Linked DNA regions of Macaca fascicularis. The protein of the gene in region 3 interacts with the protein of the main gene of each other region in a biochemical or structural test. Links are inferred from orthologs where the notes say so. Each region holds a gene or a part of one and is shown on either strand. Other genes may lie near its edges. The genes, in order: calpain-2 catalytic subunit, PRKN and ATXN3.

What was found.
Region 1: of the proteins of ATXN3 (region 3) and calpain-2 catalytic subunit, one has a biochemical effect on the other in vitro, tested with the Homo sapiens proteins (2 studies listed by BioGRID). The link is inferred for Macaca fascicularis from reciprocal best matches to the Homo sapiens genes ATXN3 and CAPN2.
Region 2: the proteins of ATXN3 (region 3) and PRKN form a complex in vitro, tested with the Homo sapiens proteins (4 studies listed by BioGRID and IntAct, with this or other methods). The link is inferred for Macaca fascicularis from reciprocal best matches to the Homo sapiens genes ATXN3 and PRKN.

The regions. Positions count from the first base shown.
Region 1 is NC_088375.1:81,724,852-81,733,135, reverse strand, and holds part of calpain-2 catalytic subunit, read right to left. Parts: intron 6,777-8,284; coding exon 6,719-6,776; intron 4,227-6,718; coding exon 4,162-4,226; intron 2,493-4,161; coding exon 2,424-2,492; intron 1,885-2,423; coding exon 1,806-1,884; intron 543-1,805; coding exon 426-542; intron 170-425; coding exon 111-169; intron 1-110. UniProt on the Homo sapiens protein: Calcium-regulated non-lysosomal thiol-protease which catalyzes limited proteolysis of substrates involved in cytoskeletal remodeling and signal transduction. Proteolytically cleaves MYOC at 'Arg-226'.
Region 2 is NC_088378.1:8,860,924-8,869,207, reverse strand, and holds part of PRKN (E3 ubiquitin-protein ligase parkin), read right to left. Parts: intron 4,549-8,284; coding exon 4,308-4,548; intron 1-4,307. UniProt on the Homo sapiens protein: Functions within a multiprotein E3 ubiquitin ligase complex, catalyzing the covalent attachment of ubiquitin moieties onto substrate proteins. Substrates include SYT11 and VDAC1.
Region 3 is NC_088381.1:160,071,353-160,079,636, reverse strand, and holds part of ATXN3 (ataxin-3), read left to right. Parts: intron 1-1,878; coding exon 1,879-2,011; intron 2,012-2,660; coding exon 2,661-2,827; intron 2,828-4,035; coding exon 4,036-4,132; intron 4,133-5,845; coding exon of another isoform or gene 5,846-5,879; exon of another isoform or gene 5,880-5,899; intron 5,900-8,284. UniProt on the Homo sapiens protein: Deubiquitinating enzyme involved in protein homeostasis maintenance, transcription, cytoskeleton regulation, myogenesis and degradation of misfolded chaperone substrates.

The DNA.
Region 1 (8,284 bases), on a different chromosome or scaffold from region 3:
CTCTTTAAAGCAAAACTTGAAAAAGCAGGTCACTCAGGTAATAGCCCTTTCCGCCCCATGCCTCCCCCATCCCCTTAGAAGCAAGGTGGGGGTATGAGCTGCTGACTCACAGAGATAAGGTCGAGCTCTATTGTTCCAGTATTCTCGGGATCCAGCTGCTTAAATATCTCTGTGGAGGGAGAAAAAAGGATGTCACGAGTGAGTGAGCTGAAACAGAGATTACATTAGCCTTTTCTCATTTCAGCAACTGACTTCACTGACCGCCATACACGCTTTCTTCCTCACTCTCAAATTAGTAAAGAGGGAAGTTCATTCTCAACTCCTGGAAGACATGTCTCTAGTTTAGATGATTTCACCAAGGTGAAAGGCAGGCCACTTTAATACCAAGATAACTGAAATGAGTCTTTCCCCAAATATCCACTTACTGAATAGCGTTTCCAGCCGAACCAAACACCGAACAAAATTATCAAAATCGATGATGAGCTGGTCATCTGCAAACCGAGCAACGATGACTTGGTGGAGTTGACAGGGCATCTTGAAACCTGAAGTTACATGAACAAACAAACTGATTGCTAAGCATTAGACTGTACCATTTAGCTGCACTCACAGGCTATGGAACCAAGTGGTGATTTAAATGAGGTATAATTGCTTTTGTCCCTTGGCCGCTCTTCTATGAGACTGGTTTGATTTTGCAAAGCCAGTACCGTCTGCTGTTTCTTTTGTTTCTGGACTGTCCACCTTCACCCTGCCTGTGTCTTTAATGACACGTAAGTCTTTTCTTGTTCTCATGGTCATGGTTGCTTCATGTTGTTAACCATGCTGCTGCTTTTTGATTTTTTGTTTAGCTCTGAATGGTCTTGGAGACCAGATTCTTCCTGGATATATGTGAGCAGAAGCTGTTCCTGGTAAACTCATGGTAGTTCTCCCTCTTTCCAGAGTAAAATAATTTCTATTGGTCCTGTGGCCACCTAGCTTCAAGACTGCATGTGCCAGCTTCCTTGCAGCCAACAGAGGCCTTGCGATCACAGTCTGGCTGGTAGGATGTGTGAGCAGAAATGGCCTGTGTGCCCTTAAAGGCGAGGAGCCTTTTGCTGTCAACCTGTTGGCGGCATGTGTTTGTGGTGGCACGCCATCCCAGGTCCCTCGGATGAGGGCAAGCCTCGAAGGACCGGTGGGCATCATGGATGGGGGGAGACTGGGGGAAGAGTGATCACACAGTAGGAGAGTAGGAGACACCATCCTAGCTGTGGACCGCTGGAGCTGGGATTGCCATGCGACAGAAAGACGTACCTCGTTTAAACCACTGTTGTGTGGGGTCTCTGCGGCAGCATTATATTCCAGCAAATAGAATGTACAGCCTCATGCTGTCGCATTTGTTCCCAAAGCCCAGCAGTCTCCCACTCTGCTGGTCTACCACTAGCTTGTGTCCTTTTATTGATATCCAATTCTGCTAGGGTCTTACCCTAAGGGCTGAGCTGAAACATTCCATTTCTGCCTAACCAACCCTGCACCAGAAAGGAGGCACCTGGAGGAGTCTGTTGAGAACTGGCTTTGTCTGCTTGCTGTGCCAGGGGACTCTGAAGGAAACTTGGATTCAAGAAGGCACAGAGGGCAGAGCATCCTACTGCATTTAATTTTACCAATTAGTCTTTAAAAGGGGAATGAAAAGGAGGTGTTTGTATTAAAACAGCACCTACTTTATTTTATAGCTTTACCAAACCTTGTATTATATGGTATAGGATGAGTGTTCACATATTCTACAGCCAGATTAAACTAGGAATGAAAATGCAATTATAAAGGGTTACCTGCTTCTTCTAACGCTTTCCGCATTTCATAGGAATTCATGGTACCAGACCTGTCAACGTCGATTTCCCGGTAAATTTTCTGGAACACATAAATTAGTTGTAAGAACTATGACCCAAAGCAAAGCTGGCGAGTTACCTCCCTAGTATGTGCTGAGTGGAGATGAAGTTTTTCCAGCTCTGTGCCTCTAGTTTGGCCTTGGAAGAATCACCCATGTTTCTGCCTTGAATAACTAACAGTATTTTGCTTCTGTCTGTGAGCTGGTTTGTAAATATGCCCATCAAGTCAGCCAGCCAATGCCCATAGGCCCATGTTCTTGTCTTATATATAATTTTTGTACTTTAGCTGTCAAAAACCCTTTGCAGGAAACCCTTGATGGCGGCCTTTAGATGATCCCAATAATCGGGAGGAAGGGAACAGGCCACTTCACCCGCAAAATCCTGGTTGGTTTTTTGTTTGCATTTCCTCAACCCGGTCTTTACTCACTCTGAGCTTCATTATGGGTAAAATGCCAATCCCCTCGGAAATGTTTCTCCACTCTGTGGAGGAGTTGCTGCATCTTAAAGCATACACACAGAATGTTCCCCAACACAGATCCACCCGCACCTCTGGGATCTTACTTGGTATTTTTGAATCTTCGTCCAGAGAATGTAGAACTCCTTCAGCCCCAGCTTGCCACTCCCGTCTGACTGCCTTCAGTCAAGGAAAGCCCTTGAGTGTGGGTCCATTTGGGCATAGTGTCACCTAGTTTGTCTTCTCAACTGGATCTTTTGAATATCATAGCACACGCACAGGGAGGGTTTGCAGAAGGATCCTTTTCCTGCTTTTCCCACTGGCTAAACCTCCGTTTAAAGGATTGGAGGAAGGGCGAGAACGACTTGCTGGCTCCCTGCCGATTCTGGTTGCTGTTTTGATCTGGAGGTGCTGTGGAGGCCCCAGATACCACTAAAAATGAGCTATTGGATGACATGCAGAGGGCTTTGGATGGCTTCTAGTGGCTAAGCCCTTGCTCTTTTTTTAGAGTATGTGGAGTATATCTAAGAGGCCTTTGGTGAAGGCAGCTAGCAGGTGCACACCGTGAATCCACTAAATAAAACTTCACAGAAGTGGCCAGGCATGGTGGCTTACACCTGTAATCCCAGCACTTTGGGAGGTCGAGGTGGCTGATCACCTGTGGTCAGGAATTTGAGACCAGCCTCGCCAACGTGGTGAAACCCCAACTCTACTAAAAAGAGAAAAATTAGCTGGGTGTGGTGGCATGCACCTGTAGTCCTAGCTACTGGGGAGGCTGAGGGGGAAGAATCACCTGAACCTGAGAGGCGGAGGTTGGAGTGAGCTGAGATCATGCCACTGCACTCCAGCCTGGGTGACAGAGTGAGACCCTGTTTCAAAAAAACCAACCTACCAACCAACTAAACAAGCAAACAAACACACAGAAAAAACTTCACAGAAGCTCAGGCTGCCCCTTACCACCACTTCTCACTAAGCATTGGAAACAAGGGGCAAATGGATGACTAATTTGCCTTGGGGACAGGCGGGTTGTCTGGGAAGGAGCTAGAGCAAAAGGGAAGTAGGATGCTTATGAAAGTAGCTCTTATCTAAATCAAGAAGACGATCTTGATCAGACAAAACAGATTCACATCAGAAATACTGTGGTTAGGGAATATTTTCCTAGAGGAAGTAATGGAAACACATCACTGAGGAAACAAATTCGAGCTGCTTTGTGCAAAGAAGTGATGGGCATATTGTCAGGAACTTCCTGCACCAGCCCCAGGAATGGACTGGTGGGCCTACATTCTTTTTCTTTTTTTTTTCTTTCTTTTTTTTTTTTTGAGACGAGTCTCACTCTGTCGCCCAGGCTGGAGTGCAGTGGCGCGATCTTGGCTCACTGCAACTTCTGCCTCCCAGGTTCAAGTGATTCTCCCGCCTCAGCCTCCCAAGTAGCTGGGATTACAGGCACATGCCACCACGCCTAGCTAATTTTTGTATTTTTAGCAGAGATGGGGTTTCACCAGGTTGGACAGGCTGGTCTCGAACTCCTGACCTCGTGATCTGGCCACCCTGGCCTCCCAAAGTGCTGGGATTACAGGCGTGAGTCATGGCGCCAGGCCGTGGGCCTGCATTCTAAGCCTTTCAGGGTAGGTGTTGGGGGGAGGTGTAGCATTTGCTTTCCCTCATCAGAAGATTCTCGAATTTCCCTAGTAAGGGAGGTCAGTGCTGCTGACTGTCCGACAGCAACTCAGCAAGTTGGGAACAACTGGCCATTTTGAAAGGGGAGAAGGCCATGTGTTTGAATTTTTCTGGAGTGAGATTTTAAACTCCCCTAGTCTCTATTCTCTGGAGCACATTAAAGGATACATCTAGCATGTCAACCATAATTTTGCACGTCTCAATGCTGAAGCCATCTGACTTGATATCTTGGCCTAAAAGACAAAATCAGTGTGACAGGAAAAATCTCTAAGCGGTGATGTCCAGTTGAACTTTCCACAATCATGGAGATATTCTTTATCTGTGCCCATTCCCATACAGAAGCCACTTCCATTATATAAATAGCCACACATGGCCAGTGACTACCAGATTGGGACAGTGCAGACGATGTCCACATTGTCCTGATGTCTCTGTATATTTGCCATGGGCAAACAGGGCTTTAAAAAGTGCTTTTTGAACAAATAAATAACAGAATGATCAATGGCTTGGCCTTAGGTGCCCACTGGATATAAAGTCACCTGTAGTTGTTGGGCAGGGAAAAAGAAAACAGAGAGGAGGTGTGTTAATTATAGGCTATGACCCGTGAGAGAAAGAGGTTTACTTGAACTGTCCATCTGCAGACATTTATGGACTGTGTCCCCAGCTGACTGAGAAACCTGAAGCCCTGGGATCTCTCCACAAGCCATCATGCTGCACTAAGGGAGTCCTATCCACTTGGTGTTGGCAGGTGGCATGAGACCCTAGTCACCAATGTGAATCTGGCTCCCCACAGACTTCACGAAAAGTCCAGCTTTTTTGTCATGTCCTTGAAAGAGGTTAGAGCCTGACCTGCCTCAAAGCTGCCACTCTGGGCACCAACCCCTTCTTAGATGGTCATGAGGCTCTGGCCCAACGGCCACGCATGCAGACTCTGGCGTTGAGCCCTCCAGAAGGCTGGAGTCACCAGGTGGCTAGGGCTAGGGTATTAAGCTCAGAGGCATGTGCGGAGTGAATGCTGCTCCCGGAGCAAGGAGTGGGCTGCATCCAGGCAAGGCCCGCTTCTTCCCCACCTCCCAGCCCCACCCTCCATCTGTGCAGAAACAATGAGGCTTTCGTCTCCTCAGCTCATGAGGATTGCATATCTGAAGAGCTCTGTGACCTCACTTGTGCCTGGTGGTCTCCAGGGTAAACACAGTCTTCTTGCCTTCCCTGAAAATTAGAGGGCGGATAGAGACCGGGGCCCCTCTGGGGAGGCCCTGCACTGGACTGACTGTAGCCTGGCTGGCCCAACCCTCTTGGTTCACACTGGGAGGGAAGACCCAGCTGGCCCTGGACTCTTCTTTGGCTCTGAAAGGCAGATTTATTTTATCTCATGGAGTTAGGCTAGAGGCCATCTTATGAGAGGGAATGATGTCCCCTGAAGTCCATGAGGCTTCTCGAGATGATCCCTAGGGCTGGTATGCAGCAAACGACCATGATTACATTTGTCTCTGATGCAGATTCCTAGCTTCTGATATGTACAAAACTCTGCTTCCTGGATTGCCAATTGCTCTCTTATCAAATGCAGCATGATTATTGTGCTAATTTGAGGGGAAAAAATGTCTCTGTGTTGTGTTTCCCCGCTCCTCCCTGCTGGTGATCCACAGTAGGGGGTTGAATGATCAATCCTCTGACATTTTTTTGCTTAAGAAATAGTTACAAGAGGCCGGGCGCGGTGGCTCACGCCTGTAATCCCAGCACTTTGGGAGGCCGAGGCGGGCGGATCACAAGGTCAGGAGATCGAGACCATCCTGGCTAACACTGTGAAACCCCGTCTCTACTAAAAATGCAAGAAATTAGCCGGGCGAGGCGGCGGGCGCCTGTAGTCCCAGCTACTCGGGAGGTTGAGGCAGGAGAATGGCATGAACCCGGGAGGCGGAGCTTGCAGTGAGCCGAGATCGCGCCACTGCACTCCAGCCTGGGCGACTAAGCGAGACTCTGTCTCAAAAAAAAAAAAAAAAAAAAAAAAAAAAAAGAAATAGTTACAAGATGTGGCCAGGCGTGGTGGCTCACACCTGTAATCCCAGCACTTTGGGAGGCTGAGGCAGGCGGATCACTTGAGGCCAGGAGTTCAAGACCAGCCTGGCCAACATGGAGAAACCCCGCCTCTAGGAAAATACAAAAGTTAGCCGGGTGTGGTGGTGCATGCCTATAATCCCAGCACTGTGGGAGGCCAAGGCTGGTGGATCACTTGAGGTCAGGAGTTCGAGACCAGCCTGGCCAATATGGTGAAACCCCATCTCTACCAAAAATACAAAAGTCAGCTGGCTGTGGTGGCACATGCCTGTGATTCCAGCTACTTCAGAGGCTGAGGCAGGAGAATCACTTGAATTTGGGAGGTAGAGATTGCAGTGAGCTGAGATTGCGCCACTGCACTCCAGCCTGGGTGACAGAGCAAGACTCTGTCTCAATAAATAAACAAATAAATAAATAAATAAAATAAAAAAATTGATCACACAAAGCTAGTAAGTATGTAGTGGAAATGTGGATTTGATCTTTGATCTGTGGATGCTAGAAACACTTGTTCTTTTTTTATCACATCATACAGATCCTTCATCCACTTCTTGGAGGGGATGGAGGGTGGTGGTTTAGTCACAGCAGCCGGACATGGAGGAAGAAAGATTTTCATGTTCCTTCCCATCCACAGGGGAAAGAGCAGGATGAGGTTTTGCAATGAGGAGATACTCACGCTTTGCTAGAACCCTTCTCAGGATGGTCTGCAGCTCAAAGGCAGAGATCTCTGCATCCTGTGGACACACAACCAGAGCATAGTTATTGGCCCCCCATGGGAGCTGGATGAGCACAGCGCAGGACAGCAGTGCATTAGGTAGGCCTGCGGTGGGGTCTATGAATGTGCATTTCTAACAAGCCCCCAGGCCATGTTGGGGCTGCTGTCCCCAGACCACACTTTGAGTAGTACTGCCCCATCCTGGATTTTAGATACAGTTTTTGGTTTTGTTCTTTTTAGAACACCCAGGCTGGACTGCAGTGGTATGATCCTAGCTCATTGAAACTTCAAACTCCTAGGATCAAACGATCCTCCAGCATCAGCCTCCCAAAGTGCTGGAATTACAGGTATGAGCCACTGCGCTTGACCTAGATACGATGTTTTAATGCACAGATGCAGTAGGGAGAGTCCACTCACCATTTCTTTGCTGTAGAGAATATAAATAATAAATACTCCCCTCTACCCATGTTTGTGGTCTTTCTTAACTTAGTTCTCTTACACCATTCCTCTTATCTGGCATGTCTTCTTCATTCTTTAAAACTCAAAGCTCAGACTTCCTGTAAAACTAGTGAAAACCAGCTGCCTCCAAGACCCAGCTGACCCTCCTCTATGCCCATCATGCCAGGGTCCCTCACAGGCTCAGATGTCTCTATTCACTTATACATATTTATGTAACTCATGGATAAACTCCTTTGTTTAAAACCAAGATTGACTGCAGTCATTTTTGCCTTTTGGGGGTGTGTATGTGTGGGATTCAATCAGTGGGGAAAGAAGACGCTCATGGCCCCTTTTCTTGGGAATCTGGGAGGGAGCAGAGGGTGAGAGGCTGGTGGAGGCGTAGAGCAGACGATGCCTGGCTTAGCACTTTGATGGGTCTTGGGGTTAGCAAAGGGAGCCCCAAATGAGCTCAGTGATTGCAAAGTTCCTCCACATAGTGAAGAAACAGGACGTTTTTTGGAGTTGTTGGGAAGAAAGAGGGCTAAATAACTTTGTGATGGGACTAAATGGTGGAGGGATTTTTTTAAGACCTGGGAAGCTGCCAGGTATGGTGGCTCACACCCGTAATCCCAGCACTTTGGGAGCCTGAGGTGGGAGAACTGCTTGAGCTCAGGGGTTTGAGACCAGCCTGGACAACACAGTGAGACCCTGTCTCTCTCAAAAAATTAAAAAATTAGCTGGGCATGGTGGTATGAGTCTGTAATCCCAACCCTTTCACAGGCCAAGGTTGGAGGATTGTTGAGCCCAGGAGTTCCAGAGCAGCCTGAGCAACATGGCAAGACCCTCTCTCTAGAAAAATAAAAATAAAATACAAATTAGCTAGCCATGGTGGTGTGCACCTATAGTCCCAGCTACTTGGGAGACTAAGGTGGCAGGATCTCTTGAGCCCAGGAAGTGGAGGCTGCAGTGAGCTATGATCACGCCACTGCACCAGCCTGGGTGAAAGAGAGAAAGACCCTGTCTCTAAAAAGAAAAGAAAGAAGAAGAAGAAAAGAAAAGAAAGGAAAGGAAAAAGAACAGAGAAGCCTA
Region 2 (8,284 bases), on a different chromosome or scaffold from region 3:
TTGGTTGGGTGTTTCTTTATTAGCTTCTGCTCCAAGCAGAACAGCGCTCCGCTCGGGCAGGCATTTTGTCTGTTTCTATTTTCTGCTACATCCCAGTACCTGGTACTGTGCTTGGCACAGAGGAAGGACTCAGTCATTATTCGTTTATGTAGTTCATTAACTGTATGCTACTAGAGGGGCCTCCTATTTTTGGGCTAGGTCCAATGACTTCAGCTGACTGTCAGGAGATGATGAATGGAGGCTCATTTAGGAAACACCAGCAACACGTGCAGGTAATTTACACACAGGCACTCTGCAGCCCAGGTGCAGCTCAATGTTCTTGTTCACAACATAGTAAAATAGATTTTATTCACTGACCATATTTTAAGCAATACTATTTTTTACTATTTAGGGCAGTACTACTTAAAGCACAGCCCCTGGGCCCGCAGTATTAGTATCACCTGAGAGCTTGTTAGACCTGCAACTTCTCAGCTTCCATCCAAGGCCAAATGTTCTGGGCCCAGGAATCTGTGATTTTATAGGTCCTCAGGTGATTCTGATGAGCACTAAAGCTTGAGTGGCACTGCTATAAAAATTACTTCAATGACTCATTCTAGTTCTTGGACGTCCTCTTACAAATCTTAGTGTGACATGCTTGCGTTCTTGGTACCAACCGTGTAACCAGTTATTCATGTACATCATGTTGTCACCTCTCATGTTAACCAGTTATCTTTTGCCAACTAAAAAGACTTGAAAGGCACCTTCTCGGGTTTCAGAAGTTTCCACTTGTTTCAATAACATGTGTGGCTACAGCCCAGCTATTCACCCGTTAGAGCCCTCCCACATCCAGCCAGCACTTATATCCTTCGAAGCTGAATTTGAAGACTCTGGAAGTACAGAAAATTGGAATTTCTTTTAATCTGTTTTTCTGAGGCAGAGGTTTTCAATCATTGTATAACCAAGGATCATTTGTGTCTTTCCAAACGACAGATGTTGTATGTGTTTAATATGTGAAGTACGTAGACAGGAATTGTCTCAGGCTTCTGTGGTTGGCTCGGTGTGTTCACCTCTCACCAACCTGCCTCTGTTCTCCCACCCAGCATCCGATTGTTGCATGAGAACAACACGTAGGATCCATAATTGTAAGACTGGAAAATCGTAGCGATAGGGCAGAGTTTCTCAGAGTGTAATCAGTAGCAACATTTTGCGGCCTCTACCCCCAGACAAATACATCAGAATTTCTGGTCACAGAAAAGTAATGAAATAAGATTTATTTTTTTTCTTGCCATTCTGGCCATCAAAGAAACATGGAAAAGCATGCAAGATAATTCTGCACATGGCAGTCTGTGACTCTCTGCTCTAGTAACTTTACGCTATAATTTTTAGTGAAGAAAAATAATCATATAGGCATACTGTTTGCATATAGTCATTTCAAATCATTCCAAAGTCGTAACTCAAACCAAGAATGAACCAAGACATTTGAAGAGATGAAGTCTCATTTTCTCTGTATAATCTTAAATAAAGCATTCGTTCTAAAAGCTAAATGCACAGGAATTCTGATGAATGACTTACTATGTTTACAATTTTAAGGAATTTAGTAAACATGTCTCACCACTCTTCTAAGAGATTTTGAGGAAAACTACAGTTAACTGGACAAAAACTCCATCCTCAAAGAGATTCAAAGGCGAAGTCGGAACTGGAGTACAAACTAGCAAGTAACAAGGGAGAGTCCTAAGGGTTCTGAAAAGGATTCCTTCCGGTTCTAATGAGTAGGAGAGGATTACTTGTAGTTTAGTTGTTAGTTTAACACAGAGTTAAATCTGAAAGTTGACCTGGGATAAGCCATGTCTCTTTTCCCAATCCTTTACAGATGCAATATAACTACACAGAGGCCTTTCAGTAGCAGTATGTAGGGTACCAGGAAGTCACCCCCAGTCTGTAGTGGTGCAGGGAGAAGTGTATTAGGAGGGCACCCCTGCAGCCCCCAGCTGCACCATGTAGAGTTGCCTAAGCCAGTCCCTAGCCTGCAAAATGCACAAAGCTGGCAGACCACAAGACAGAGGGGTAAATGAGAAACATGGTGATCAGAGGTAAGATGTGACTCAGACATGGGTGGAAAGTAAAGGTGAAACAGCATGTCATCATAGGCCACACAGTACTCTGAAAGCTGCTGTCATTTACCGCATTCCACACATTTACTAGAATTTATTGTCTATTGTTTGGGTGGAAATAATTACACATTTCAATTTAAAAATAAAGAGAATATTATACATTTAGCAGAATTTTCTCAGTGCCTACTGGTACTTCAGACCCTATATAGAGAGAATACTATATTTTCTTAACAAAAAATTATGGTCTAGAGAGAAAGACAAAAAAAGTCAATTGAAAATGTCAATAATTCTAAGTTCATTCTCATAAAAGAAAATTCTGGAGAAGACCAAGGACAATTTTATGATAAAACAAAATAAGAAGAGTCAGATAAATATGTTTGATAAGATAGTAGAGACAGATGCACTAGGAAATGGATTAACGAATGTGAATATGTACAGAATATGATTATTGTGCTAAAATTGTTTTTAATATTCAGTAATAGGTAAAGGTTTAATTTTGTTCTAAACAATGTGATTTTTTTATTTTTAGTAAGAATTTTATTTTGGGAAATCAAAGAACTAGTAGATAGGTCTACTAACATAATAAATCCAATCTGTTACACAGTTGGTACCACTTTTGGTTTCAGCCCTACATTGGGGGACTTGAAACATATTGCCTATTGATGGGGAGGGATGACCGTACATGTTAGACATCCAGAAAAAATGCATAAATCTCAAAGAGGTGGTCTAAAATTCAGGCTTGGATACTATCTTCTACGGCAAAGGAAGAAAGGGAGAGGAGAAGACAAGAGTAAGGTTTGTTACGCAGATTATTAAGTTGGTGGCTTCTCAAGAATCAGAGTCTCCAGAGACTCTGTCCTTCTCATCCTAGTAAGGAGAGGGAGACACCCTTACAAATGGAGATTTCCTTGGTAGATATAAATTTCCCTTACAAAAGGGTGACTTCCGCTCTGTTTTTAGAGCTTGTCCTATGTCTACTGTTTCTCAAAATAATCAGCTCAAAATAATACTTATGCTAACATGGCATATTTTGGGGTGGTATATTCTGGTCTCATACACCCTCAAGGTGGAATTTTCCCTTGTTTGGTTTATAATGTTGGAGCACTGAGTATCCTTTAGTAGGGCTTGTTTTTCTCTAGAGGTGTCAATGTCAGAATGATCTTCTACATACTCTGGTTGAAACATCAGAATTGTGAGGAGCTTGGGTTTGATATTTATATTAATTTATCATATCCTGGATCACAAGGGCATTGCAGGGGTTTAGATTTATTTCATTTTTCCCCATTTTTGACATTTGTTTCCATTTCTCAGTTTTTCTTTCCAGACCTGAGGTGCCCAGCTCACATGAAGCAGAGCCTCTTTCCCTCCCACAGTCATCTCAAGATCACCAGAGCATCAGCTAATGCCTTACTTTCTGGGTTTATCTACTCCTGTATTTAAAGATGTTGCTTCTACATTTTCACTTGTCCTTGAAAATTATCTTTTTTTTTATTTTTTGCAAGCTCATTGAAAATTTTTAATTCCTTAAATTTTATTTAGTAATTTTAGTGGGAGGCATTTCTTATTACGTCAGGCTTCCATCTTGCAGGTCCCAGAACTTTCTGACACTGTGAAGGCCATACCAGCCCACAACTGCCAGGATCTATTGTATGTGGGAGGAAAATCAACTTCTACCCTGTAAAGTCATTGTGATTATTTTGTGTATTCTGTCAGACACAGTAAAAATTAATTCTATTACACCTTTGACTATTTAGAGAATAAAAGACTAAGAGACACATATTAATATTTTAAAAATAACTAAACAATAACCATCTTTTCCAAAGAAAAGCATTTTGAAATGGGTGGTAGAACAGAGAAGGAAGAATCCTTTCACACTAAGGATGTCATTGCCATTGGAATATGTGGCTTGAGAAACTACAAATGGCTCGATTAGCTTTCAAAATCTTTCTACTTTTTAGAATTTTTCTACATCACTAGAAACATATCTCTTCTATTTAATCTCAATGTGAAAACCTGTTTCATAGTACTTATAATAAGTGCATTCTCAAATTTTACATCAAAGTACTCCACCTACAGTGATGTCTCCTTGGAGTGAATTACAGACTCAAATCCAAAACGTATCGACACTAAATATGCACCTGGTGAGGCCATGCTCCATGGAGACTGCACTAAACAAACAAACAGAATGCTCTAATACTCTTAGGGCATTCCAATTACCTGGACTGCCAGCTGGTGGTGAGTCATTCCTGCTGTCAGTGTGCAGAATGACAGCCAGTCCCACAGAGTCTCCTGGGAGGACTGAGCTGCTGAGGTCCACCCGAGTCAAGCTCTGGGGCTCCCGCTCACAGCCTCCCGCCGTGTTTCTGGCGTTGTCGCCTCCAGTTGCATTCATTTCTTGACCTTTTCTCCGTGGTCTCTGAACAATGTGAACGATGCTCTGCTGATCCAGGTCACAGTTCTGTTTGGGAGCAAGGTGGAAAAAAAACAAGGAAATGGCAAACATGAAATGCCAGATAGAGTTTAACTTGTCCTCAGTGTTAGAAGGGAAGGGAAAGTGACATGTAATTGACCAGCTTAGGCACATGTTTGGCCACAGCACTTACACACTACACATGGTAGACAAACAACACTGAACTGGGGCCAGAAACAGAAATTTGGGGATACGTGAAACACAACAGAACGCTGAAGTCATATTCAAAAGGACATGAAATCTACCAGGAAAAAAAAAATTACCAAAGTGGATCTATAAGCACAGTGAAAACAATAATTCTTTTTTTATTTTTTCCCCGAGATGGAGTCTCACTCTGTCATCCAGGCTGGAGTGCAGTGGTGCCATCTCAGCTCATTGCAACCTCCACCTCCCGGGTTCAAGCAATTCTTCTGCCTCAGCCTCCCGAGTAGCTGGGATTACAGGCGGGTGCCACCACGCCTGGCTACTAAAAATATTCTTAAATAATAAAACTGATTGACATCAGAATTGATATGTCATTCTTTTCTTTTTTATAAAAGTACAGAAAGTTATTATCAATTAGAGGGCATTTCCGTACAGCATTGGAAATGAATGTGTTTGAGTAGACTCCACACACACCCCTCCACGGGCACCAGAACACACATCGTTACACCAGTGGGGAAGCAAGGCAGGAGCACACTCCTGCCACCCACGGTTCATTCTCTCTCGGTCGATTTAACTATGAAAATCAGCAAACATTTACAAAAAGGTTTTGCATCTATATATTGACACGTAGGAACAGAAGAAGACTTTAACATTTTCTAGCATAAAAATTAAAAGTCAGATTATTTGCCAGGACAAGAACTAGGCTACCCTAAATGGAATTCTAGTTTCAGAATATCTACTACATAGGGCCGCCCGCGGTGGCTCAGGCCTCTAATCCCGCACTTTGAGAGGCCGAGGTGAGTGGATCGCCTGAGGTCAGGAGTTCGAGAAGAGCTTGACCAACGTGGTGAAATCCCGTCTCTACTGCAAATACATTAGCCGGGCGTGGTGCTGTGTGCCTGTAGTCCCAGCTACTTAGGAGGCTGAGGCAGGAGAATCACTTGAATGCCCACCCCCATCCCCCCACCAAAAAAAAAAAAAAAAAAAGAATATCTACTACATAGAAGCAGTTACTGATCTGCTTGCTACCCTCTTAAGACACAGCAAGGACCTTACTCTCTCAGCAAATCGATGTGGCCGGGCACAGTGGCTGACGCCTGTAATCCCTGCACTTCAGGAGGCTGAGGTGGGCGGATCACTTGAGGCCAGAAGTTTGTGACCAGCCAGGGAAACATGGTGAAACCTCGTCTCTACCAAAAATACAAAAAAATTAGCCAGCTCTGGTGGCATGGGCCTGTAATCCCAGCTACTTAGGAGGCTGAAGCAACATAATTGCTTGAGCCTGGGAGGCGGAGGTTGCAGCGAGCCGAGATCATGCCACTGCACTCCAGCCTGGGCAACAGAGCAAGACTCCATCTCAAAAAATATAAAGCAAAATAAAATAAAAATTAAAATGAATCAATGCCTTTCAAATACCTCTTGCCATTCTCATTTTAGGAATGCTCCCAGGACACTCAAATGAAATGCATCCATAACTAACAGCAGTAAATGATGCCCTCCCCTGCTGCTTTCTCAAGCTCTTCTGTTGCCTTCACCATCAATGTCCCTCGAACAGTGATGCCCAGCACTCACCAACAATCTGACCACAAATACAACGGCTGGAGTCTGGCTCCTCCATCCAGTACGGCACCAGGACACCCTTTGTCCTTAAATCCCATTCAGACCTCTTCTCTACTCTCACACCCTGGGGCTCCATCTCATCCCCAGGCCCTGTGCCCCTCCCGATCCCCATTCTCAGAGCTCCCAGCCTCTCCCCAGGACTGTTCCTACTCAGCAGGGGCCACTGTTCATCATTCTCTGACTTGAAGTCCTCCCCTGCATGATTTCCCTGGTTCTGTCAGGAAAAACCATCCCCCACATCACCCACTTCGAGCCTTCCCCTTCCACCTGAAAGTCTCATTATCCTCCCATGTTTTGTAATGGGCTGCAAGAGAATCACTATCTTGAATTTCACCTACCTAATCTTTGATATCGGCAAGGCACCAACAGTTAGCAATTCTGTCTCAGAATTACCCTTCACATCTTCAACTCCTTTATATCTCAATATTCACCTCCCCATTTTAGGCCTCCCTCACGATTACTCCTTTTACATCCAATATAGCCATACTCCAGTCCAATATGTACAAGAATTCTGGGTGTGTGTGTGCTACATAATCTTTCTAAAGTGTCTCAGTATTACTTGTAAAATGGACTGTAACATCTCCCATGTTCTTCGAGTGTATTTGTACTTTTTTCCTTTCTAGATCATGATCTAGATTTGATTTTTTATCTTCCTTACCCCTCCTATATTATATGTGTGGCAGATTAAACTATTCTTCAAAATTATGCACGCCCGTACATTAGTGTGCATACATCATGCTCCCCACTTCCTCTCCCAGTGATTGTGCCCAGCCACTTGAATGTCTTTGGCCAAAGGGACATTAGCAGATGTAATTGGAACCAGGGCTTTGTATTTGTCCCGCTGCTAAGGTCCATCAAAAGAACATCCCTGCTGGGCACAGTAGCTCACACCTGTAATCCAAGCACTTTGGGAGGCAGAGGCGGGTGGATCACTTGAGGTCAGGAGTTCAAGGCCAGCCTGGCCAACATGGTGAAACCCCACCTTTACTAAAAACACAAAAATTAGCTGGCTATGGTGGCGTGTGCCTGTAATCCCAGCTACTCAGGAGGCTGAAGCAGGAGAATCACTTAAACCCAGGAGGCAAAGGTTGCAGTAACCCGAGATCCCGCCACTGCACTGCACTGCATGGAGCGAGACTCCGTCGCAAAAAACAGAACCTCCGAGAAAGCTTCCACCTGTTCACACATGGCCCACACCTGAGTCCAACCCACAGAGGTGACCAAGTGCAGCCATAGTCACAGTATAAAGCAGGGACCTGTAGCTGAAGCCAGCCTGAGGCCATGGGCACCCCCACTGACCTGCAGGCACATGAGAAAGATGGCATGCTTTTATGGCACTGAGATTTGTGCTTGACTTTTGAGCAATAATGGCAGACAGTCCTCGATTTTCCATTCTACTTGGACAAGGTATCACTGTCTATGATCAGCTCCATGTCAGGTAGCACTCCTCTAGCTACACACAGCCTCTAGCCTAAGTCATTTCAAAGAAACTGGCATCAGGATCCGAGTATGCTCAAGGACCTGAGCTTTGCCACAGAAGGAAGAGTGGAGAATTAGCACCCTAGCCTATCCTGAGGTTTCTATCCACATTGTGTCCCTTCCTTTCCATGTTCAGGACTCAGGTACTTCCTGTGATCCTCCTAGAGAAAAGTAACAACTTTCTCCCTCATCTGAATCTAAAAATCTTTGCTTACTGTGCTCTTCTTATTGCAGTGGTTAGAGCTTGGACAGTATGTGTGTGTGTGTGTGTGTGTGTGTGTGTGTGTGTGTGTGTGTGTGTGTGTGTGTGTGTGTGTGTGTGTGTGTGTCTGAGTCTTATCTTCCAACTTATTTTAGAAATACTTGAGACCAACAACTTGGTCATACTAATATTTATCTATCACACAGTGCTTTGAAGCCAGGAGATGTAGAAACATATTTATGAATTTAAAAAGTTTGAAAAAGTGAATGACTGAAGGGA
Region 3 (8,284 bases):
CAGGGCAGAGTATCCATTCTTCAGACACTCTTCATAGAATACCATGGTGAGCTGGCATATTTATTGTACGATATAGAAACAGTTTTACTGGCAGAAAACACATTAAACCATTTGAACTCTGAATACAGTTGTCCTCATAAAAAATGTTCATTGTACTGTTTAGAGGTTTTCCATTAGTAGTTCTTACAATCTTTGTCCCATTATGTGTTAATTCTAACAAAGGATATCCAATAACAAACACCAGAGTTTAAGAAAAATGTGCCAGGTGCGGTGGCTCACACCTGTAATCCCAGCACTTTGGGAGGCTGAGGTGGGCAGATCACCTGAGGTCAGGAGTTTGAGACCAGCCTGGCCAACATGGTGAAACCCCATCTCTCCTAAAAATACAAACATTAACCAGGCGTGGTGGCGGGCGCCTGTAATCCCAGCTACTCAGGAGGCTGAGGCAGGAGAATCGCTTGAACCTCCTGGGAGGCAGAGGTTGCAATGAGCTGAGATTGCACCACTGCACTTCAGCCTGGGTGACAGAGTGAGACTCCATCTCAAATAAAAAATAATAATAATAATTAATAATAGAAAAACTTAGATTGTTTTAGGTATAGCCCACTCTTAGTTTTTGTGTGTAGCATCTAGCTTGGGGAAACCCTGGATTTCTGGAATCATATTTATACACAGTCACACTAGACTAATGTAATTCTTTTGGGATGCAAACCACACGTTTGACACCTTAAATAGCTTTTAGGTATTTGGCTTCTCAGCTCCTATTTTTAGTTACAAGGGGTATACATGTGTGGGTCAGGGTAGCTCTTTCCACAGATGATTAGTTTTAGCCATGTTACTAGTTATTGCACACATTATCTGACTGTGTCCTCGAAACAGCCCTGTGAGTGTATTAGTCAGGGTTCTCTAGAGGGACAGAACTAATAAGATAGATGTATATATGAAGGGTAATGTACTAAGGAATATTGACTCATATGATCACAAGGTGAAGTCCCACAATAGGCTGTCTGCAAGCTGAGGAACCAGGAAGCCTGTCCAAGTCCCAAAACCTCAAAAGTAGGGAAGCTGACAGTGCAGCCTTCAGTCTATGGCCAAAGGCCCAAGAGCCCCTGGCAAACCACTGGTGTAAATTCAAGAGTCCAAAAGATGAAGAACTTGGAGTGTGATATTTGAGGGCAGGAAGCATCCAGCATGGGAGAAAGGTGAAGGCTCAGCAAGTCTGGTCCTTCCACACTCTTATTTCTGCCTGATTTATTCTAGCCGAGCTGGCAGCTGATTAGATGGTGACCACCCAGATTGAGGGTGGGTCTGCCTCTCCCAGTTCACTGGCTTAAATGTTAATCTCCTTTGGAAACACCCTCACAGACACACCCAGAAACAATAATTTGTAGCCTTCAATCCAATCAAGTTGATAATATTAACCATCACAGGAAGGTACCAGTATCATTATGTTTAACAGTAGAAACCAAGACAAATGCAGCTAGGAAGTGGGAGAACTGGGATCAGATGCAGGCAGTCTGATTCTCAATCAGTTGCTCTTACCGACTCCTTTACTCTCTCTCATACCAGTAAGTGAGTAGCCTGCTCAGTCAAGTGCTATATTAGTAGGGCCCTTTACAGACATTTACTTCGCACAGTCACTCAGTGAGACGGCTATTCCAGTCTTACAATGGAGAAAGTGAGGCTCAGAGATTTTAAGTAACTTATCCTAGATGACTTTACTAGTAAGTATAAGAATCATTATTTGAACTAAAATCTTTCTGAATCCTCAGCTTGTATTTTTTTCCAGTGTACTGTGCTGCCTCTTTACTAGCATTTTACATCAATTTTGAATCTCTTTACTAGCTGTTTAGGTTGATTTTTGCCTTTTTGTTTTAGGTTATTCTATATTTGTTGTTAAGGGTGACCTGCCAGATTGCGAAGCTGACCAACTCCTGCAGATGATCAGGGTCCAACAGATGCACCGACCAAAACTTATTGGAGAAGAATTAGCACAACTGAAAGAGCAAAGGTAAAAATGAGGCCTGCAGTATGGAACATATGACGATATTTCATTATGAGAATAAAATTTTCATGCTTACATTGAATATGTGGTCCTTGTGTTGTCGGCACCTCTATTTTGGACCTTACATTTTAGTGAAGTTTATTAGTTCGAACGTGAATCAACTCTTTGAAATACTTAAATATATTAACTAAGTTAGCAGGTATGGTGTATTCCTAGCACTTCAGGAGGCTGAGGCAGGCTGATTGCTTCAACCCAGGAGTTTGAGACCAGCCTGGGCAACATGGCAAAACCTCACCTCTACAAATAGTACAAAAATTAGCCAGACGTGGTGGTGCGTGTCTGTAGTCCTAGCTACTTGGGAGGCAGAGGAGGAAGGATCACCCAAAACTGGGGAGGTCGAGACTACAGTGAGCCACAATCACACCACCGCACTCCAGCCTGGGCAAGAGAGTCAGACCCTGTCTCAAAAAAAGAAACAGAGAAAAAAAACTTAGTTGGATTCAAATTACAACACAATCATTATATTACTAGAGCTTATTTGCCAGAAAACGTTTTAAGTTTTGGCTTACGTAAAGCCTTTACATTACAAATGCCTTTATGTTATGTCTAAAATAGAAGATTGGTTGCAGTTACTACCAGTGCTTTTGTTCTTTAGAGTCCATAAAACAGACCTGGAACGAGTGTTAGAAGCAAATGATGGCTCAGGAATGTTAGATGAAGATGAGGAGGATTTGCAGAGGGCTCTGGCACTAAGTCGCCAAGAAATTGACATGGAAGATGAGGAAGCAGATCTCCGCAGGGCTATTCAGCTAAGTATGCAAGGTAAAGACATTCTGATGTGTGTTGTATTCATTGCTGAAGAATTGATTCCAATTATTCTTAGGTTTCCTGGAAGTTAATGTACTCTTAGAAGTGTTTTGACAATTACTGCAGAAGCAATAGCTATATAGTGGGCTTTCCCTTTAGATTTCTTATAATGGAAATAACTTTTTACAACCTATATTTTATTAGGAGTAGTTATATTTTTACTCCTGGTTATTTATTTGGTTTCAATAACCTGTACTAACACAGTAGTCAATTGTGGTGTTAATCTTTGTGGGTATCAGTTGACCCTTACCCAAATCAGCTCTTTCATAAATGTATGTCATTAGACACTATGGAAGGGCCTGGACAGGGGATATAAACTGATTATACAAAAAGCCAACATTTATTGGCTATGCAACTTAAACCTTAAGCCCGCTTTGGTGGGCCCAGTTTTTTAGTGATATAAACTATCAATTTCAAAAGTGAAAACATATCCCCTATACAGTCTAGGCAAAGAAAAATGTTAAGACATAGCTCGAAGTTTCTTAATTAAAAGTTTGAAGTGGGTTTTTTGTTTTATTTTTCTCTAACTTATGTGTATTTGCTTCTACTTTCTAATGAAATTATTTATCAATTGATTTCCTTAGATATCCAGATAAAATTGAGATTCCATTAATGGGAAGATTATTTTCATCCTGAACTTTTCTTGCCTCTAGGCACACCTCTGAGTACTCCATATGGTGTGCAATCCCATTTTTGATTAATAGAGTCCTGCTGGATTAGCAGGGACAGAAATCAGCTTTAGATTTCTTTTGTTTTTTGAATTAAGAGTCTCACTGTCGCCCAGCCTGGAGTGCAACAATCTTGGCTCACTGCAACCTCTGCCTTCCGGGTTCAAGCAATTCTCCTGCCTCAGCCTCTTGAGTAACTGGGACTACAGGCACCTACCACCATGCCTGGCAAGTTTTTTGTACTTTTAGTAGAGATATGGTTTTGCCCTGTTGGCCAGGCTGGTCTTGAACTCCTCACCTCAGGTGATCCACCTGCCTTGGCCTCCCACAGTGCTGGGATTACATGTGTGAGCCACCACGCCCAGCCAGAAGAGTAGAATATTCTTCAAGAAAAAACATTTTAAAAGCTTACTCAAATGAGTATAAACAAATGTATTGTTGCTTGAATTGGTAAATACAGTGATTGGTTTTTGTTCTGTTGTGTTTTGTTTTCAGGTAGTTCCAGAAATATATCTCAAGATATTCCACAGACATCAGGTACAAATCTTACTTCAGAAGAGCTTCGGAAGAGACGAGAAGCCTACTTTGAAAAGTAAAGTAGTTGGTACAAATTAAAGTAGCACGTTTAATATTTGCTTTGGCTATTTTGTCTGTTTGTAAATGGTTACTGCCTGAATCCTATGAATATTTGAATGCATATTTAAAAAATTTACAGCAAATAGGACAGGCACGGTGGCTTACGCCTGTGATCCTAGCACTTTGGGAGGCCAAGGTGGGCAGATTGCCTGAGGTCAGGAGTTCGAGACCAGCCCAGGCAACACAGTAAAACTCCATCTCTACTAAAAAATACAAAAAAATTAGCCGGGCGTGGCAGTGTGCGCTGTAGTCCCAGCTGCTTGGGAGGCTCAGCCAGGAGAATTGCTTGAACCTAGCAGGTGGAGGTTGCAGTGAGCCGAGATCGCACCACTGCACTCCAGACTGGTTGATACAGTGAGACTGTCTCCAAAAATATATGTGTGTATATATAAATAAAAATAAAAATTTACAGCAAATAACATGAAGCAAAATGTAGTTTTAATGAAAAAGTTTGCCTCAATACTGGATAAATTTTTGAAACTGAGTGAAGGAAACCTTGTACAATTTCATTTATTAAAAGAAAAATGAAATTAGGACAAGGCAAGAAGAATACCTATTGATCCTTTGGATGTGCTTCTTGCTTACCTGATTAACCCTGCAAAATTTCTCTACCAATCAGTAAGAAAAACAGCTTTTGAGGTATGGGAGCACATTCCCAAATAGACATGGGTAGTTCATTTAGCTGCTCATGGCTGCTGCAGGGGGTCCTGTAGGCCTGTTAGCATCAGGAGAATGGATGCAAACCATAAATCTGGATCAACTCCTAAAACTTTACCTTGTGCCCAGCCTTGTAAGTGCTTGCTAAATAGGAATTCCACTGTATGAAAATACATTCTTTTCAAGTAACTATTATTCAGACTTTTGTCCCCCACTTTTTTAAAAAAAGAAGAAGAAAAGGCTGGGTGCAGTGGCTTACGCCTGTAATCCCACCATTGTATGAAATAGGAATTCCACTGTATGAAAATACATTCTTTTCAAGTAACTATCATTCAGACTTTTGTCCCCCACTTTTTTAAAAAAAGAAAAATAAAAGGCTGGGCACAGTGGCTTATGCCTGTAATCCCACCATTTTGGGAGGCCAAGGCGGGTCTTTGGGAGTGAGTTTTTGGGAGGCAGGAGAATCGCTTGAACCCGGGAGGCGGAAGTTGTGGTGAGCTGAGATCGCGCCATTGCTCTCCAGCCTGGGCAACAAGAGTGAAACTCCGTCTTAAAAAAAACAAAACAAAACAAAAATTAGCTGGGCGTGGTGGTGGGTGTCTATAATCCCAGCTACTCGGGAGGCTGAGGCAGGAGAATCGCTTGAATCCGGGACGCAGAAGTTGCAGTGAGCTGAGATTGTGCCACTGCACTCCAGCCTGGGGACAAGAGCGAGACCTCGTCTCAAAAAAAAAAAAAGAAAAACTCCATGTTAAAAATTACAAGATAAATAATCAGACCCGCTGATCCTAGGTCAGAAAACAAAAGACTCATAGCTGAATCTGACCTGCCATTGCTGTATTTCATCCATTCTAAGATGCACATAGTTTCACATTTCAATGTCTCTGAAATTGAGAAGTATCTTACAATCATAATTGACAGTATATTAGCAGCACCTAAAAATATTGGCTCATTTTACATTTGATGGTATAATGAAGAAAATATTTACCTTTTTTTCTGTTTTGTTTTTAAGTCACAACTCAGAAGTAGATGAAGGAAAATTCTGATCAGCTGACATCCTCTTAATGTGAGATATTTCTAGTCTTTATTCAGCATAGATTAATGGCTAATTATATGTTACATTTCAAAGTAGTGCTTATTAGTGCTTTTTACTTTTAAGTTTCAAAATTAACTTTTTTATTAAACTCCAAATTTATACAAAAGTAGAAAAACTAGCATAATGAACTCTTGTTTATCACCCAGATTCAACAAATACTAGCACACGGCCAATCCTGCCTTTTTTTTTTTTTTTTTTTTTGAGGTGGAGTCTTGCTCTGTTGCCCAGGCTGGAGTGCATTGGCACAATTTCTGCTCACTGCAACCTCTGCCTCCTGGGTTCAGGCAATTCTCCCACTTCAGCCTCCCATGTAGCTGGGATTACAGGTGCACACCACCATGCCCAGCTAATTCTTATATTTTTAGTAGACACAGGGTTTCACCATGTTGCCCAGGCTGGTCTTAAACTCCTGACCTCAAGTGATCCACCTGCCTCGGTCTCCCAAAGTGCTGGGATTACAGGCATGAGCCACTGCACCTGGCCCAGTCTCGTTTTATAATACTCCCATCTCCCATTCTTTCCACTGTCCCACCTACAAGTTTGGATTATTTTGTAACAAATCTCAATCATCATATCATTTGTTCTATAACCATTTTAATATATGTCTCTAAAATATATGAACTTTTTTTAACATAGTTAAATGCTATTGTCATAAAATAATCATGATAATTAATTGTAATTCTATATCACCAATTATCTAGTTAATGTAAAAAATAACTTAAATCTAAGGCCAGGTGCGGTGGCTCACACCTGTAATCCCAGCACTTTGGGAGGCGGAGGCGGGCGAATCACCTGAGGTCAGGAGTTCAAGACCAGCCTGACCAACATGGAGAAACCCCATCTCTACTAAAAACACAAAAAAATAGCTGGGCGTGGTGGCGCATGCCTGTAATTCCAGCTAGTTGGGAGGCTGAGGCAGGAGAATCAGGGAGACAGAGGTTGTGGTGAGCTGAGGTCTTGCCACTGCACTCTAGCCTTGGCAAAAAGAGTGAAACTCTGTCTCAAATAAATAAATAAATAATAAAAAAATAACTTAAATCTACTTAATTAGAAAAACTAATATTCTGGAAATTTTATTTTAAGAAATATCTAAATTGGCCGGGCACGATGGCTCACACCTCTAATCCCAGCACTTTGGGAGGCTGAGGCGAGCAGATCACCTGAGGTCAGAAGGGTCAGGAGTTCAAGACCAGCCTGGCCAATGTGGCGAAACACCGTCACCACTAAAAATACAAAAATTAGCTGGGCATGATGGCGAGCCCCTGTAATCCCAGCTACTCAGGAGGCTGAAACAGGAGAATCTCTTGAACCCAGGAGGTGGAGGTTGCAGTGAGCTGAGATCACCCCACTGCACTCCAGCCTGGATGACAGAGTGAAACTCTATCTCAAAAAAACAAACAAAAAAAAAGAAATAGCAAAATTAAAAGAAAGCATACATGGCCAGGTGTAGTGGCTCATGTCTGTAATCCCAGCACTTTTGGAGGCTGAGGCAAGCAGATCATTTGAGGCCACGAGTTCAATACCAGCCTGGCCAACATGGCGAAAGCCCGTCTCTCCTAAAAATACAAAAAAATTAGTCGGGCATGGCGGCGCACACCTGTAATTGCAGCTACTTTGGAGGCTGAGGCAGGAGAATTGTTTGAACCCAGAGGTGGAGGTTACAGTGAGCTGAGATTGTGCCACTGCACTCTATCCTGGGTGACAGAGCGAGACTCTGTCTCAAAAAGTAAAAAAGGGGGCGGGTGCGGTAGCTCACTCCTGCAATCCCAGCACTTTGGGAGGCCAAGGCAGGCAGATCACAAGGTCAGGAGATGGAGACCATCCTGGCTAACACAGTGAAACCCCGTCTCTCTACTAAAAAATACAAAAAAAATTAGCTGGGTGTGATGGCAGGCGCCTGTAGTCCCAGCTACTTGGGAGGCTGAGGCAGGAGAATGGCGTGAACCCAGGAGGCGGAGCTTGCATTGAGCAGAGATGGCGCTACTGCGCTCCAGCCTGGGCGACAGAGCGAGGCTCTGTCTCAAAAAAAAAAAAAAAAACCGTCACCTCCTTTAGTAACTGATGTTAGTATTTTGGCACATTCTCTTTCTGTGACTTATACACACTTACCTTGTAAGTGTTGTACTCATTTCCTATGACAGTAAATAGTCTTTGTAACAGGCTGCATGATATTTCATAAAATGAATGGATGTGGCATAATTTATATATGTGCCTTTTGAATTATGCTATTATAATTAATACTGCAATGAACAATTCTTATATTGCCTCTATGCCTCAAATGTCTCATCATTTCTTCTTTTTTCTGAGGATGTCAGATTACTGGGTTAAAGGGTATGAATATTTTTAAGACCTTGG